3 linked regions of the Mus musculus genome follow. The protein of the gene in region 3 interacts with the protein of the main gene of each other region in a pairwise test. Links are inferred from orthologs where the notes say so. Each region holds a gene or a part of one and is shown on either strand. Other genes may lie near its edges. The genes, in order: Mafg, Batf3 and Bach2.

What was found.
Region 1: the proteins of Bach2 (region 3) and Mafg interact in binary tests that used the Homo sapiens proteins (3 or more experiments, as listed by UniProt). The link is inferred for Mus musculus from reciprocal best matches to the Homo sapiens genes BACH2 and MAFG.
Region 2: the proteins of Bach2 (region 3) and Batf3 interact in binary tests that used the Homo sapiens proteins (3 or more experiments, as listed by UniProt). The link is inferred for Mus musculus from reciprocal best matches to the Homo sapiens genes BACH2 and BATF3.

The regions. Positions count from the first base shown.
Region 1 is NC_000077.6:120,629,795-120,635,598, forward strand, and holds the start of Mafg (transcription factor MafG), read right to left. Parts: upstream 3,754-5,804; 5' UTR 3,568-3,753; exon of another isoform or gene 806-3,567; coding exon of another isoform or gene 694-805; intron 223-693; coding exon of another isoform or gene 192-222; exon of another isoform or gene 187-191; intron 88-186; coding exon of another isoform or gene 60-87; coding exon 24-59; intron 1-23. UniProt on the Homo sapiens protein: Since they lack a putative transactivation domain, the small Mafs behave as transcriptional repressors when they dimerize among themselves.
Region 2 is NC_000067.6:191,096,405-191,102,045, reverse strand, and holds the start of Batf3 (basic leucine zipper transcriptional factor ATF-like 3), read right to left. Parts: upstream 3,633-5,641; 5' UTR 3,588-3,632; coding exon 3,519-3,587; intron 1,319-3,518; coding exon 1,214-1,318; intron 1-1,213. UniProt on the Homo sapiens protein: AP-1 family transcription factor that controls the differentiation of CD8(+) thymic conventional dendritic cells in the immune system.
Region 3 is NC_000070.6:32,415,438-32,421,045, reverse strand, and holds the start of Bach2 (transcription regulator protein BACH2), read right to left. Parts: upstream 3,612-5,608; 5' UTR 3,463-3,611; intron 3,439-3,462; exon of another isoform or gene 1-3,438. UniProt on the Homo sapiens protein: Transcriptional regulator that acts as a repressor or activator. Binds to Maf recognition elements (MARE). Plays an important role in coordinating transcription activation and repression by MAFK.

The sequences.
Region 1 (5,804 bases), on a different chromosome or scaffold from region 3:
CCAAGCCCAGCCTCTCTACTCACCTTTAAGGCCTTGTTTCCTTTATTGGGGGTCGTCATAACCCGGGGGACACAGTGAGCAGGCACTCTGCAAGACACAGAGCATAGGTCAGGACCCTGAGACTCTTTTACACCCCAACAGGAAGCTTGCTGCCTGGTGCTCAGCCCACAGAACCTTGCCCCTCACCTGACCTGAGCTTGGCTGCTTCAGAAGGCCCTGTCCCTAGAGAGCCAGGTGGGAGGTCGGGAGATTTTTTTCCCAGGGAAGAAGCAGGAGCAATGTGAAGGCAGAAGACAAAGGGAGCAGAGAGAGATTAGAAGGTCTGGGCTGCAGGAGGGGCAAGCCTAGAAGGAAGCTGAGCTTTAAAAATAACCCCAGTGCTGCCCCAGAGCGCCCTGTTCCTGGCGAGTCATGCTGACTCAGCGGATCGCCTCCCTCCCTTCCTGAGCCGTTCTCCCGGTCCTTTGGCCAGCCAGCAGTTCCCCAGGAGACCCACTACTGGGACCAACAGCAAGCAAGGATCAGCCAGGGACCCTGTATTCCAAGGTCCTACTTCCCATATATGTTCCCTAAGCTGGCCCAGGACAAAAGAAAGCCCTTTCTCCCTCTAGGACTTAGGTAGGAGGTTGCTTCCTGCCTCAGTCTGGCAGAGGATAAGGTTTGTTCTAACTGGCTGACTGGGAATCCTCTCACCTTCCAGGTAGCAGGCAATCCGGCTGGGAGGAGCTGAGCCCAGGCCCCTCCAGTCCTCCCCGTCCATCTCCTTTACAGATGGGGTAACCATCCTGTGGCTTGGTTGCAGCATCCTGTACTCTTGCCCCACCCGACACAGGGTGTTTCACAAGGGCTCCCACAATTAGCAGAGGAAGAGCACTGTTAGCTGGAAGCAGGCAAGAGCCAGCCCCTTCAGGTCACTGACTGGTCTTTGGCTCTCTGCCTAGGGTCAGTGACCACAGGGCCAGGGAACAAAAGCAAAACAGGTCCCTCCTACAGTCAGCCGCCCCTCCGGGCTCAACCTCATTTTCAGCTTTCTAAAGCCTTGCCAAGGACATTCTTGTGTACCTAGGCTGGGAATCCCCACTTAGCCCAACACCCACCAGTCCCACAGGCACATCCTCTCCTTTCCAGGTTAGGTGCAGGGAAATGAGGGAAGTGAGGTTGCTGCAGGTCTGTGAGCACTTCAGGCAAAAATGTGCTGGATGGGGAGTTGGTTCATCTTATCAAAGGAACTAACACATTCTCATTAGCTTTACCCTACTGCTTTTAGCTTTGAACAGGAGGTGTGGCTACATGCAAACACTGAGCAAGCAAACCAGGACTAAATCTACAGGACTAGATTAGGAGCATTTTCAGAGGCAACAGTACTGCTAGATCAAAGAGAAAGGCAGAACTCAGATCTAGAGGTCTGAAGGGCATCTGTCTTTCTTACAAGTTGGCCCTATACTCACACTAGGAGCATAAGTCGAGGTGAGGGGACAGTCCTGGCAGGAGCTTCCCTTATACAGACTGCTGAGCTCAAAACGGTGACTTCCTGAGATCGCACAGGAAAGTGCAGAGTGTGGCGGCTGGGAGCTGAAAAGTGCCTTCTCAACAGATTTTACCTCCACCAAAGGCCTGAACTCAGCACAAGTGCAGCCAACTGCCTCCTGATCAAAGGTGCACGAGAGAGAGAGAGAGAGAGAGAGAGAGAGAGAGAGAGAGAGAGAGAGAGAGAGAGAGAGAGAGAGAGAGAGAGAGAATGTGTGTGTGTTAGAGCGAGTGTGTGTACATGTTTATACGCATGTGTGCTTAAGGGGGAAGGGCAGGTCTCAGGAAAGCCAATTCTTCCAGCTACCTGCCTGGCTTCTGCAAACCTAGGGACACAGTGACTAGGCAGACAGTTCTGGGGGGGACAGCTGTGCTGAGGGATACAGTTTAGAGAGCTTTCCAGAGCCTGAGGAAGAAGCTCAGAGAAGCTGATCTGGACCTGCTGCCTCCAACTCAGCCCTCCAAGTACTCACAGTTATGGACAGACTCAAGACACCAAGGGGCTCTGGACCACTCATTCAGGCTGACCCTTAAAGAAGGGGTTTGGGCACCTCTGTCCTCTCACACTAGACAATCTGGACATTAGTCTCAAGCAAGATAGTGACCCTTCCTTGCTAAACCTTGCCTGTAAACCTCAATGCAGGAGACCCCCTACGTAGGTCTTCTCTCCTTCAGGTACTGACATTGTTTGAAGAGAACGGAAAACATTAAGTTCACTGAAGCACAGTGCCTCCGGAGTTTAACAATTTTCTGGAACCTTGAAGTTTCATAGGGCAAGTTCCACACCAAATGAAAAAAACACTGCACCTATGAGCAGCCTCAGGGCTCAGGGTTAAGGGGACATCCCTTAGCACAAACCACAAGGTAAGCACAGTCTAGACATGAATCCCTGGGCAAGGAAAGCAGTAGGATGGAGTTCAAGAACCTTCACGACAGATAAGTCAGTAAACAGCCATTCAGCCACACCCCACAAAACTGTCACCTCCCAAGAGTCTCCAGACACCCAACAGGGCACACACACTTTTTGGTAACTCCAGGCAACAGTGGGACCCCAAACTCTTCTGAAAGGAATAACATTGGGATAAATAAAACTACATCTTCTACTCCATGGTTGCACCTCAAAAACTCTCACCAGCTGCCTAGATCCACACTCTGCTCTCCTTAGCTGGTTAGAGCTGCCCCAGCTTCTTTCAAGCCACAGACCCTTCTCCCCCTGCCTCCCGGTCTTCCCCATCTAGGACCGACGAAGCCTGGCCATTCAGGGTCACAGAGAAGGAAAGCTTGCTTCCCAGACGAGCTGGCTCGGCCCACCTAAGCTCCTCCCCTCAGCGTACACCGATCGGTCTCCGGGTTTGGGGAACTGCCCCAGTTGTGGGACCCGGGCCAGGAGCCCAAGAACCAGGCAAGGATGCGCACGCCCGGGGCTTTACCTTCCACCCCGGGAGAAACCTGCGGCGCGCCCCTGCAATGCCTCCTTCGGAGCCTTTGCCTCCAACTCACAGGTCTGTCAAACTTAAACACGACCCCGGATCCCGGCCCGACCTTCACCACCCGGATCGAGCCCTGTCTCCCGACTAGACCGGCCGATAGCGGGCCCCGGCCCCCCGCCCTGGCCCAGCGTCAGCAGGAGCACCGAGTGACCTCATGCTGATGACTCAGCACGTCTCCGCTGGGCTCGCACCCGCGTGGCGAGCCCAAGCCGCGCAGCAGGGTCTCCCCGCCGCCTCCCCTGTGGGCCCGCGCGCGACCCCGCCCGCGCGGAAGCCGACGGACACCTGATGAGTCAGCAGCTCGGTGCGGCCACCCCGCTGACCCGGGCAGACGCGCGCAGCTCGCCCTTAAATCGCGCCCCCCGCAGGGCACCCGGGGTCCGCCGCCGCGCGCACGCCCGTCCCCAGCCTCGCGGTCGCCCGGTCCGCCGGCTCTAGGGGGACACAGGCGAACAGCCGGCTGGCGGGGAAACCAAGGCACGCGCTGCCGTCGGGTGCGCCGCAACCCCGAGGCCAGGCCCCGCCGCCCGCCCCAGCCCCGCGCACTCACCACACTGCGGGCCCGGGCGGGCCAAGGCGGGGCTGGGGCGGGGCCGCGCGCGCGCGCTCCGGGGCTGCGCGGGGCTGGGGCGGGCGCGAAGGGTCCGGGCCGGGGGCTTAGGAGGACTGGCCGCCTGCGCGGGCCGGGCCAAGCGCGCTGGGAAGGCCGGGCCGGACCGGGCTCAGAATCCGCCGCCGCCGCCGCTCCTCAGACGTCACATGATGTTTGGTCACGTGGGTTCCATTCATGAAGCGGCGACGCGGCTGGCCTAAGCTTAAAGGGAAAGGCGAGGCGGCAGCAAGGCGAGCGCGCCCCCATCACGCCTGCGCAGCCCCGCGCCGTTGCCCTTGGCAACGCCCGCCGCGCCCTGGCAATGTCTCGCGGGAGTCGTCCCGGCGCTCGCCGGGTTGACCGTGCTCCTGCAGAGACAGGTTCTACGGAGTGGCCCCAACTCGGATGCCTCTAGCTCCCTCCCGATCTCCACACCAACTCAGACCGAGGTCTATGGGAGGTTTGTTTGATTTTCTTCACTTGGATGCATAGTTTCACTGTACAGCGAGCAGACTGGATTTCAATTCCCTGAGATGCTCCTGCCTCGGCCCCCTGAAAGCGGAACTCACAGATGAGCGTCACCACGCGGGAACCTATTTGCTGTTTTGAAGGTGTGACACAGTGATTTAGTTCCTTACCCCGTTCTGCTGCGACGTCCTCATTCTAAATGGGTCAGCAGTCTGAAAAGGACACGGCTGTTGAGGGGCACAGCCCCAACCCCAGCTCAGATCCCCAAACTATCCACGATGACACGAAGGCTTGGAGGACGCTCACTAATGATTCTAATCTCCGGAGGGTGCTAGGGGCTTCACCTGCGGCCGTGGACCATCTCTTCGGGTAGTGTGCGTGCACTGTAGGAGTTGTGCACTTTGCCCAACCCTTCTCTGCCGCATTTGAAACTACTTTGGGTGCATTCTGCTGCTACTTTTTCTGTGAGACTTCTCGCTGCTGTTGAAAAAGTAAAAAAGAAGGAAAGTAGGAGGGATCAAGTTTTCATTTCGAGGTTCTGAACGTTCTATTTGACCCTGTCTTCTCTGGGAATCGTGAAAAGGTGACTCGTTCTGTAACATAGGTGACAAGGAAAAGGGGGTAAGCAGGCTGGAGGGGGCCTGTGTGTGTCCTTTGTGTCAAATTTGGTTTCTTGAGACAAGGTTTAGACCAGGCTGGCCCCAAACTCTCAGAGATCCGACTGCCTCTGCCTCTCTAGTGCTGGGATTAAAAACATGTGCCACCACACCCAGCCTCAAAAAGTAATTCTTTACATTGTATTTCTTTGGGGAGTGGGGGGGGGGGAGCTTTTATCTTTCACTGGCTGTAGCCAGAGTCTCAGAATACAGAGAATTACTCCTTATGCCTTGTGGTGGTTTGAATAGAAATGGCCTGCATGAATTCTAAATGCCGTGTCTAAATGCTTGGCCCATAGGGAATGGCACTATTAGGAGGTGTGGTCTTGTTGGAAGACGATTGTCTCTGTGGGGACAGGCTTTGAGGTCTTATATACTCAAGCTATGCCCGTGTGTGACTTACAGTTTCTTGCAGCCTTCAGAATGCAGAACTCTAACTAAGCCCATCCTCCAGCAGCAAGTCGGCCCTGATTCAGTCTTGCTACTCTCCATGACAATAATGGATTAAACCTCTGAAAGCGTAAGCCAGACCCAATGAGATGTTTTCCTTTAGAAGAGCTGCCGAATGGAGTCTCTTCATGGCAATAAAACCCCTGAGACAAGACCTCTGGGTTTCTGTTACTTATCTTCATCCTCCCTCCCTTTGTTCTTGTTCTAGTTATGAGATAGGGTCTTAGTCTATAGGCTCTGTTGGTCAGCAGCAACCCTCCTGCTTCAGCCTCCCAAATGCTGGGACCACAGCCATGAGCTCCCACATCCGCTTTGTTCTTTCTTTCTTTCTTTCTTTCTTTCTTTCTTTCTCTCTTTCTTTCTCTCTTTCCTTTTTTTCTGTTGCTCAGATTAGCTGCAAAGCCTTGCAGCCAAGAGTAGCTGGGAGTTGCTGGACATGTTAGCACAGGCCTTTAACCCCAGTCCTCAGGAGGCAGAGGCAGGTAGGTCTCTGAGTTCAAGGCCAACATGGTCTATAAAAACCAGTTCTAGGGGCTGGCTCAGTGGTTAAGAGCACTGACTGCTCTTCCGAAGGTCCTGAGTTCAAATCCCAGCAACCACATGGTGGCTCACAACCATCTG
Region 2 (5,641 bases), on a different chromosome or scaffold from region 3:
CAGGCGTGGTACCAGAACCGCACCTGAGATTTTTACATCTGATCCACAGGCACGCGGTAGATAGTGAGAGAGCTAAGTGGGAATTCCATGGGCTTTGGAAACCTCAAAGCCAGTGCCAATGCCACACCTCCTCCAAAGCAGCTACACCTTCTCATCCTTCCCAAACAGTTCCACACTGAGCACTCTGTGTATGAGCCCAGAGGGGCCATTCTCTCTCAAACCACCCCCTGAGGAGGAGGCAAGATTTTGAAAAGGAATTAAAAGTATAAAGAGCTATTTTTGTTTAGCTTCTTCAATTTTTAGTTTTGGTAGGGAGAGGGTCTCATGTAGCCCAGGCTGGCCTTAAACTTACTATATAGCCAAAAATGGTTTAAACTCCTGACCCTCACAAGTACCACCTCACCCACATTCTTTTATTTACTTTCTCTTTTTTTAAAGATAGAGTTTCACTATGGAGCCCTCTGGCTGTCCTGGAACTCACTATGTAGACCAGGCTAGCCTTAAACTCAGAGATTTGCCTGCCTCTGCCTCCAGAGTGCTGGGATTAAAGGCAAGTGCCATAATTCTCAGTAATTTCTCTCTCTCTCTCTCTCTCTCTCTCTCTCTTCCTTCCTTCCTTCCTTTTTTTTTTTTTTTTTGAGACGATACCTCATATAGCCAAGGCTAGCCTGAAAGTCACTATAAATACAAACTTGACCTTGAACTTGTGATTCTCTGCCTCTCCCCCGAGTGCTGATCTCGAAGGCGTGTTCCTTCCACCACGGCTGGTTTATGTGGTGCTGAGACTCCCACCCAGGGTATTCTTGTGCACATTAGACAAGCACTCCACTGAGCTGCTCCTCCAGAACTTTAATTACTATTACTGTTGTCACTATTGTTTCTATAGACAGTTTCTCTGTAGTTCCAACTAGCCTCAGGCTGGGTATTCTCCTGCCTCCACCTTCCTGAGTGCTATAGTGTGAGAGCCCCCACATCTAGCTTTTGTTTGAGTCTATAGTGAGAGAAAAATCAAGCGTGGGAAGAAGCCCGGGGGCTGGGGCTGAGAGGAAGAGGCCCGAGAATACAGAAGCAAAGCAATAGGCTGGGAGGACCCAGAAGAATCAGACTGGAAGGACTGATGATGAGCACCGTGATGCCATCACTGCCCCCTCCCCCGATAGGAGACAGCTGTCCCTGTGGCTGTCCTGTAGTCCTGACCTGACCACAGGCTCACCTCGTGGAGCTTGTCAGCCTTCTGGGTCTGCTTCTTCCGGCTCCTCTGAGCTGCAACCCGGTTTTTCTCTCTCCTTCGAACTTTCCTGTCATCGTCCTTGGGGCTCTGGGGATGACATGTGGTGAGGTAAGACTCTCAGACTCTCACCATGCTCCAGTGGGCTACTGAGAGGTTTTGTTAAGGAACACCTATCCTGTGGTGGGGCTTTGCTTTATATTAATCACCACCCACATACTGAAAAGCGTATAGAAAGACTGTTGTTTTAAAATGAGGAATATAAGGTCTGGGGTGCAGCTTAGTGGTGCCATATGTGTGGGATATGTCAGGCCCTGTGTTCCATACCCAGGACCACAAAAAATAAAAATACTATGAGACAACGAGGAATCAGAAACTCAGGTTAGGGAAGTTCTCCAGGTACCACGGCCAGCATGGGGGTGAGTGGGAAGTGGAACTCAGGTTTGCTGGTCCCCAAACCAACGTTCACAAACTTCTGCCCCACAGGGCGTTTGCCTGGAAGAGCGGTGCTGTTACTGCTCATCTGAGAGTGAGAAAGACTGGGGTGTGTGCTCGCTAGAACTTGCTGTGCACAGCCTTTAAACTACCACACACTGGCAAGTCCTTCTGAAACTGTATACAGACCATAGTTATGCATTTATTAGTAACTGCAACCACACAGCTCTACCAGTATGTGGAAAACTCTGGAACACTAATGACGACATGCTCTCTTGAACAACACTTGGCTGACATTTTCTTTTCAGAGGTCAGGGTTATTCCAAATGCAAATCTGTGATGCGTTTTGAGAGTTCTTAACCAAATATCCAAAAATCCTTCATGAGGTGACATGAAGTGGGCAGGCAGAAAAAAATGCACGTACCACAGCGAGAGCTTACTTAGAGGAAAGGGTCTGCTTTCCAGAACTGCAATTGACACCATCAGGGGAGGAAAAAAAATGTCCTTCAAGACTGAGTTCAAAAGGTGTCTAGATGGGGAGGGAGCTTAGTGGTAGGTGAGGCTCAGGGTGTAATCTGGAGCCACAGCAACAGCAAAACCCAGAGGCTGGCGTACAAACTCAGGGCTTCAGCCAGGAATCCCAGGCATAGATAAGAAGAGACAGCAGACCCAACACCTGCTCAGGAGAACACAGGTGTCAAAACGTGCCTTCCAGAAGTCCTCCCCCCACCCCCTTCTTCAACAGTTTCACGTAGTCTCCCTTCCCTTTCCTCCCTAGCTCTGGAATTGTACTCCTGCATCACTACACCCCAAAGGTCTTGATAAACACACCTGGAGCATCCAGGGGGACATGCCATATAAACGATGTAACTTCAGCTTTTACACCCTCACAAAGCCTTCCACCGTATATAATAACTAAGACCCTGCCCTGTACTCAGAACACTGCTGGGCTCTGCTGCCCAGAATCAAGCTGACCTGAGATTTGACCTCACTGGCTCTCCACTGGTGCTTGACAGGAAATAATGTCTCTATTCTCCAAAGCCAACAAGTCTCAGGGCAAGGGGCAGCATGCCTCCTGTCCTCTGGGAGCTGTCACATCACCTGCCACAGATGATCACACCTTCCCTCTGGGCAGGAATGACGAATGGAGACACAAATCACCCATCACTCACATGACCTCTGCAAACGTCCTCAGGAGATACAAAAAGAGTTCATCTTATAGATGGGGAAATTGAGGCTCCGCTAGTCGAAGCAAATAGTATAAGGCCACTCCAACTACTTGGCTCAGACTTCCAGGGTCATCCTGGGACATTACACTTCAAGCAGAGAGTTGGGAGTGTGTGTGGTGACTAAGAAAAATAAGACCTGATCTATTGATAAAGCAACCAGGTGGCCAAGAAGTGTTCCAACAGTGGCCTCTATTTGGTCTCAGCTTCTTGTGACTACAGCTTTGAAAGCTGGGACAACAGAGGGTGCTGATCATATTGGGGCGAGAAGTTTCCACCCGTGCTGGGGGTGGAGTCTGCCCATTAGAGACAAAACCCCACACCCACAAATTGACCGGTCCGACATTCCCCATGCGGATCTTGGCCAGTGGGTTGGATGCAGGGACGAACCGCCCCTTTGGGCTGAATTCATAATATCGGAGCTCCGGGCCCCCTCCCACCAGCGCCCACAGGAGTCAAGGATGAAACTGCCCACAGCAGCGCGGACCCACGTGTTCGGCGCCGAGTCTGGAGGGGCTGCCGCCTTCCCAAGCGCTTGAGGCGCACGGCGGGGGCGCACGGCGGGGGCGCACCTGGAGCTCTGCCCTCACCCTCACCCGGTCCTCACACCCGGCCCCCTTGTCCAATACCTGCGGCTGGTTCCCGGGCGCATCCACGCTTCTCTGCAGCACGCTGACCGCGGGGGGCCCTTGCGACATGCCGCGCGCTCGCCACACGGGGCGCCCTGAACGTGGGGCTCTGCTACCCGCGCTCCGCCCGCATCCCCGCACTTGCTGCCCCGCCCCGCCCCGCCGCTTCCCGCTCTCCGGGCTCCACGGTGCCCGCCTCCCCACCCCGTGTCCAGTCCCGGCCCGGCCCGGCCCCGCCCCCTACTCCCACCCCGCCCCTGCTTCCTCCTCCCCCCACCCTCTCGCCGCACCTCGGGGTCCAGGATCCCACCCAAGTCGCTGCTTTCCGCTAAGGGCCCCCGCTCTTCGTGGAAGTCACGTGGCAGCACCGAAGCCCACCCACGGAGAAGACCCCGAGTGGGTGGAGACGGGGTGCTGGCGCAGCGCCGCCGTGGACGGTCCTCCGGCCGCTCCTGGGAAGTTTGGGTGAGAAGCACCAGTGAGTGGCTCGGTGGCTTCAATGTCCCTTCGCAGCCTCCCTTAGCGCCCCAGCGCCGGTCACCGCCGATGGGGAGATTTCTTCCGGGCGAGGCGGCACCTGGACCGGTGGCGCCAGTGGGCAGGGACCGCAGCAGAGACCGTCCGCGCTATGGGGACAGCGGGAGCCTCAGGGCTTTTCCACTGCGGCGGCGTCTGGTCCAGTGGGAGGGAGGGGGCGAGGTGACTGGGAGGGCGAATTCTGATGGGGGGGGGCGGGGCGGGGGGAGCGGCAAAGAGAGGTTGTGAGTCGAAACCACGCTTGAAGTCCATCCTCACACATTCAAAGGTCTGGGCAGGCCATGCTAAGGTCCCATGGGCTAGCTGCATTTGCTTCTTCAAGATTAAGGTGATACCTACTAAAGGCTAAAATATATGGTTGCTATGTTTATGTCAGACTAGGTAGAGACGTATCTCATCCCTCTTCACCCGCCTGCCAGTTTTTAAAATATGAAGTCAAGATGACTGTGCCCAGCAAAGAAAAAAAGAAAAAACCCTAGCGGTTGCAGGTTTGTGGTTTGTGCATAGCATAGGAGAGGAAAGCTAACCACGAACTGGGGGACGGATGGGAACCAGACAAGAGTGGCCTTTCTCGTGTGCTCATTTTGGCCTACTGGCTTCTGGGCAGTGGGAGAGGTGACCTTTCTGAGTCCTCACCCCAGTGTGCATGGCTCTGTGCCAGAATTTAAGCCGTAAGTCTGGAGAGAGGAGCTTGTTTGAACCTGCCTGCGCGGCTTTAGGCACCAGTAGTGGTCATGTGTGCTAGTAGGTCACGGCATAGCCAGTGTCCACACATCACAGCAGAGCCTCTCCATGCTAATGGTTCCGCCCAAATTTTAGTTCTGACCCTCTTCTATCAACATGCATGCATGCTCCGGTGTGGGGGGAGGGGAGAAGGAGGGGAGAGAAGAGAGAGAGAGACAATTACATCTCACACAGTATAGAGGAGTGCACAGCACAGCATCCTGCACTTGGTGTGGGTCAGCCCAGGACCTCTGTCCTTGAAAATTAAAGGACCCTGTAAACGGGGTGTGGTGGCCAACGCCTACAATTTCTCCACTCACAAGGTTGAGGCAGGGTTTCCACAAGTTCCACTATCTAGCTTGGGCTATACATTAACCTCCAGGCTAACTAGAGCTAAATAGCAGGATGAGATCTCAATACAACCAAAGACTAACAAAATAAGCAATTTGTGGGGGCAAGTGATCCTAACTTTTAGACGTTTAAGAATGGGTGTTGGAGGGGGTGATCCTCGACATACCAGTGCACTCCCGTGTGTCATTCTAGTGGGCTCCTTTCCTGTTCCAAGTCCTCTGGGGTCCTCCCCACAGCCTGGGGCCAGGGCCAACAGCAGACTTATATTGGCTTAGTCTACTTATGGCATTGTTTCTTTTTTCTTTTCCTTTCTTTCTACCGCCCCCCCCCATATCCCCCTTCCCTACACACTCATACACACCTTGAGTTTTTCAAGGCAGGGCTTCTCTGTGTTCAGCCCTGGATGTCACGGAACTCACTTTTAGACCAGGCTGGTCCCGAACTCTCAGAGATCCACTTCCTGAGCACTGGGACTAAAGGCGTGTGTCACCATGCCCAGCATGGAACTATTT
Region 3 (5,608 bases):
ACTCAAGTCCAAGTGGATCAAAGACCTCAATATAAAACTGGATATGCTGAATCTAATGCAGAAAGTGGGAATAGCCTTGAACATATTAGTAGAGGAGTACACTTCCTGAACAGAGCAGCAATGGCTCAGGCACTAAGTCAACAATTGCTGAGACCTCATGAGACTGAAAAGCTTCTGTAAGGCTACAAACACCACCAATAGGACAAAGCGGCAGTCACCAGATTAGAAAAGAATCTTTACCAACTCTAATTCTGACAGAGGGTTAATATCCAAAGTACATAAAGAACTCAAGAAATTAGAAACCAACAAACCAAATAACCCAATTAAAAATGGGGTACAGAGCTAGACAGAGAATTTTCAACAGAGGAATCTTTAATGTCTGAGAAGCACCTAAAGAAATGCTCAGCTTCCTTAGTCATTAGGAAAACGCAAATCGAAATGACCCTGAGATTCCATCTTACACCCGTCAGAATGGCCAAGATCAAAACCCCAAGCCACAGCATGTGCTGGTGAGGATGTGGAACAAGGAGAACACACCTCCATTGCTGGTGGGAGTGCAAACTTTTACAAGCGCTTTGGAAATCAATTTGGCAGTTTCTCAGAAAACTGGGAATAGCTCTATATAAGATCTAGGTATACCACTCCTACGTATATACCCAAAAGGGGCTCCACCATTCCACAAAGACACTTGTTCAAGTACGTCCTTAGCAGCTTTATTCATAGTAGTCAGAAGCTGGAAACAACTTACACATCACACAATGGAATACTATTCTGCTATTAAGAGCAAAGACATCATGAGTTGTGCAGGCAAATGGAAGAAACTTGAGAATATCATCTTGAGTAAGGTAGCCCTGACCCACTTATGACAAAACACTTACGGCATACACTCACGTATAAGTGGATATTAGCTATAAAGTACAGGATAACTATGCTACAACTCACAGTAATAGGGAGGTCCCAAGGGAGGATGCACCAATCTCACTCAGAAGGGGAAACTAAATAGTTATCAAATGTGGATGGAGAGAGGGAACTGGGTGGGAGATGGGGTGAGAGAGAGAATGGAGATGGCATGGAGATCAGGTGTGGGAAGGGAGGAGGACAGTAGAGGGCTGGGAGTGAGAATGGAAATCATGGGGGAGGGCATCTCTGGGACTCTTTGGAAGCTTGGAGTGGGAAAGGATATGGGGAGTGTATGGGTTCACCCTAGCTGAGATTCCTACTAGCAGGGGATGTAGAGACTAAACTGGTCACCTCCTATAGCCAGGCAGGACTTCCAGAGGTGGGAGGGGGACATCAAGTCACCCACAAAGCCTTCAACTCAAAATCTGTCTTGCCTATAAGATGTGCAGGGATAAAGATGGGGCAGAGACTGAGGGAACAGCCAACCAATGACTGAGAGCCATCTCATGTGGGCATGCCAGCCCCTGAGACTATGATCCTCTGCTAGGCTTACAGACAGCCACCTAGCATGACTGTCTCCTGAGAGGCTTTACCCAGCAGCGGATAGAAGCAGAGGCAGAGACCCATAGCCAAACATCAGGGACTGGACCTAGTTGATCTTCATATGGGTCCTCTAACAAGTGGAGAGGGGGCTGTCTCGGTCTGTGTCCCCTGCCATGGGACATTCCCTCTACTTGAACTGCCTGGTTGGGCCTCGGTAGGAGGGGATGTGCCTTGTCCTGCTGGGAATAGATGTCCCAGGATAGGGCACCCAAGGGAGCTCTCCTTCTCTGAGGATAAGGGGAAGGGGGAAATGGGGGGACGGATTTGTATGGGTGGGACTGGGAGAAGAGAAGGGGGGGCTGTGATCAGGATGTAAAATAAGTAAAAAAAAATATTGAAAACAAAAAGTAGCACAATGAGAGTGCGGTGTACGATGGCACCGCAGCCTCTCAAACTGTGACTTTGCTGCCAAGGACCAGCATTCTTGAAAGGAAGACTGAGTTCTGCTATTATGCTTTAAAAAAATTATGTTAGACTGTAACATAAGAGACTTTAGAACATATACATTGCTGTGTAACCAACATCACCACCTTCTACCAAAATATAACCTTTCCAGCTCACACACTGTACCCATTGAAAAATACACCCCACTCCTCTGCCCTCCTGCTGGCAGCCACTATTCTCCCTATGGACTGTGTGAGTCTGACAACCCCAGGTACCTCCTATGAGCAACAGCACTAAGTATGTCTGGCCTATTTCATCTAGGATAACATAGCTGGGTGGCAAATACTGTATCGACAGCGGCCATTCTCAATTAAAATAATAACGACGATGATGATAATAAAAGAATTGCAAATCCCAAGTGCTACTTTGCATGACAACATTCACCACATCCAAGAAAAACGTTATAAACTGTAGTGCCTTACCACAAATTTAAAATGCCCAGCAATTTCTTGGATGTTTCCTAGACAGGACAGTATCACCATTACTATTTTATATTCGCATTTATTTAATGAAATGAAAGAAAAATACTTTAAATGTCTACATTGGCTTGGAAACAGAGCATGCTCACAAGCATGTATGTACATCTGTATGTCCGCTCACCTTATCCAAGTGAGGATTTACTTAGCCAAACTCTTCATGGGTTTGAATCAGTGCAGGGTAAACTGTCTTAGGTTAAGTAGTTAGACTTTTGGAAGCTAACATGGTAATGAGCTGACCTCAAAGTAAGGCAGGACTGAGGCTCTGGAAATCCATAAAAACCGAGCCTTGCTCAGCGACTGTTTACTGGAGGTGTACCTCCCCTGATGTGTCTTTTGTAAATGAAATTACATTTCAGTGTACCAGGGAGGGATGGTACTATGAAGATTCACTTTGCAAAGGAGCCACGGATTCTCCTTTTGACATCAAACATGGTGTGCACACTTGTCAAGGGACTGTGGCCACTCCCTCAAGCTAACAGCTGCACCGTTACTCTGACCTCCTAAAGTCCAAGGCAAAGAGTGGCCAGCAGTGTAGGAGGAATGCTGGCGCGTGGTAACCACTGGACTTCTGAGCTGAAGCCGCCGTGCAGACCCTAGAGCTGTTTTCTGAGGTATGTGTCAATGAGGTAAGTACAGGTTCTACCTCTTAATGTATTCAATATTAAAGCATATAGATTCCCGCCTTTGCCATTCACTCCTCTAACACAGTTATGTTAAAGTGGTGATTCTCAAAGTGAGGGCCTTGGGGCACTGACATCAGCATCACTTGGAAAATGTTAGTAAAGCAGATTGCTGGCTGACACCAGATCTTTTGGCTCAAAACAGCCAGTGTGACTCTGATGCAAGCTGACAATAAGAACCACTGAGCTAAGGAAGTACTAACAGTGGGATTCCAGCCCTTGTTTCTTGCTTAATTTACATTTCTCATGACACTTTCTTAAAAGAAAGTTAACTTTTGTGTGCTTGGATTATTGGCATGACTGCCTCACACTGAGCCTTGTTGGGTTAAAGAAAAGAAATCTTAGTAAAAACTTACATATAATTTCCCCAGGTCCTGTCCTGGCTTCGAGTCTTAGGATGCTGGGAACTGGGCAGAGGAAGAGATGAGAAGGCTACAGCAATCCATTCAGACATGGACCCCCAAACTCAGTGAGGCAATCTTGTGATAGATCAGTGAGTGTCCACCTAGACCGGAAGGGAAAGCCCGTTCGTTAGTGGATGAGTGTTGCACACCGTGAATCTCCTGCCTGCTGCCTCACAAACTCTACTCAACTTTGAGAACAACACAGTACTCCACAGTGGTTCTAGTGTTTCTCTTCAACGAACTACAAGGCCAGAGTAAGACAATCCCCCCTAGGTACCAATATCTAGGCTCTATTCGGGCAGAAGACCTCCTCTGCAGGCGTTCCCTGCAGACAAGCTTCCCTTATCAGGTGTTCACTTGAACCCCCACAGCTTGGATGTGGCTATGATCCAGTCACCCCGATCTCTCCGGCTGCATCTCAGAAGGCGTTCTTCATCAAATTCAAACGCCCCAGTATGGAGGCCGAAGTGGTGGTCTTAACTAAAAGAGGTTCTAGATTAACTTGTGAATTCTGGCTGACATCTATGCCTCCAAAGTGTTTATTTTCAAGTCAGACAAGCTTCTTGTTGGCTTTAACCTAACCTTAAGTCCTCAGATAAAATTTTCATTCATAAGATTAGACATATTTATTTCCTCTTCTCTGATAATGAGTTAATGTTTGTTGTAGAGCACATAAAAACAGGTAAAGAGTAAAGGAAAAAAAATAATGAACAGTGGTAACTTTGACCAATAAATGACTAAGGATATTTTGTTGTTGAAGCTCACTGCCCATTCAGTGTAACTTCTGGGGTTGGATACACACATGTACATGCATGCACATGAACACATGTGCACATGCACGCACACGCACACACACTCCACACCCTGAAAGGTGTTGGATTTAAAATTGGATTGTGGACCAGTATTCTTTTGGTACACAAACATAGAGGGTTTTTATTTAATTATTAAATATGAAATTAAATATGAGTTACATAAGAGAGAACATGTCGCAATGTTGCTACAGTTAATGAAAACACACTTTTGAATCCCTGTAGTATTATAATATTTCATAGAAACACTTCAATTGTTTTTCTCAAATGAGGACTTATCAGTTGTTTTCCTTCATTGTCACTGCAAGCGACACACGGAGGGTCACCTGAGTGTCAGGCTGCCTGAGTTTCTGACCATTTCTTGGGTCTCTAGAAAGCTAACAAGCGACCACGTTGGTGATGTGAGCTTCAAGCATGTCCTCACAAGTTTTTCTTTAGGGTTTTTTTTTTGAGATTTTATATATTTTTACTTTATGTGTATGAGTGTTTGCTTGAATGTATAACAATGCACCATGTGCATGCAGCCCTCCTGTATATAGTGCCTGCGTAAGCCAAAAGATGGTGTCAGATCCCCTGAGACTGGAGTTATAGACAGTTGGGAGCCTCCAAGTAGGTGCTGGGAACTGAACCTGGGTACTTTGGATGCAGAACCACGGTTCTTCTTTTGTTCTCTAAAAAATTATTTAAAGATTTTTGGATATTATAACTACATTTCTTCCTTCTTTTTCCTTCCTCCAAAGCCTTCCGCATACCCCTCCAAAATCCTCAAATTCATGGTCTCTTTTTTCACTAAATGCTATTCCATGTGTACATGTGTATGTATATACATACACACATACATACACATCCCTAAATATAACCCATTCTGTCCGTCTAATGGTACCTGTATGTATGCTTTCAGGGATGTCTGTTTGGGACTTGTGCTCCTCCCTGGGGAGGACCATCTCTCCTGCTCCCAGTGTTCCTGGAACGGAACAACTCTATTCTTATCTATAAACTCAACTTCTGAGTCCAGCACACACAATAACATAGCTAAGATATGAGGAGACAGGGTGTGAGCACTTTTGATTTTATTTTGAGAGTGAACTAAAATTCATCTCTTCCAGCAATCTTACATAAAAGTCTGGGTTGTCCCATCACAATGACCAAAAAAAAAAAAAAAAAAAAAAAAAAAAACCCAAAAAACCCAAAAGAACAAAGATGTATCAAGAAGATTATTTGTTCACTGTGACTTCATAATAATTCAGGGAACCTTGTCCTGAATTAGGAGCCTAAGAGGGTAGAGTGGC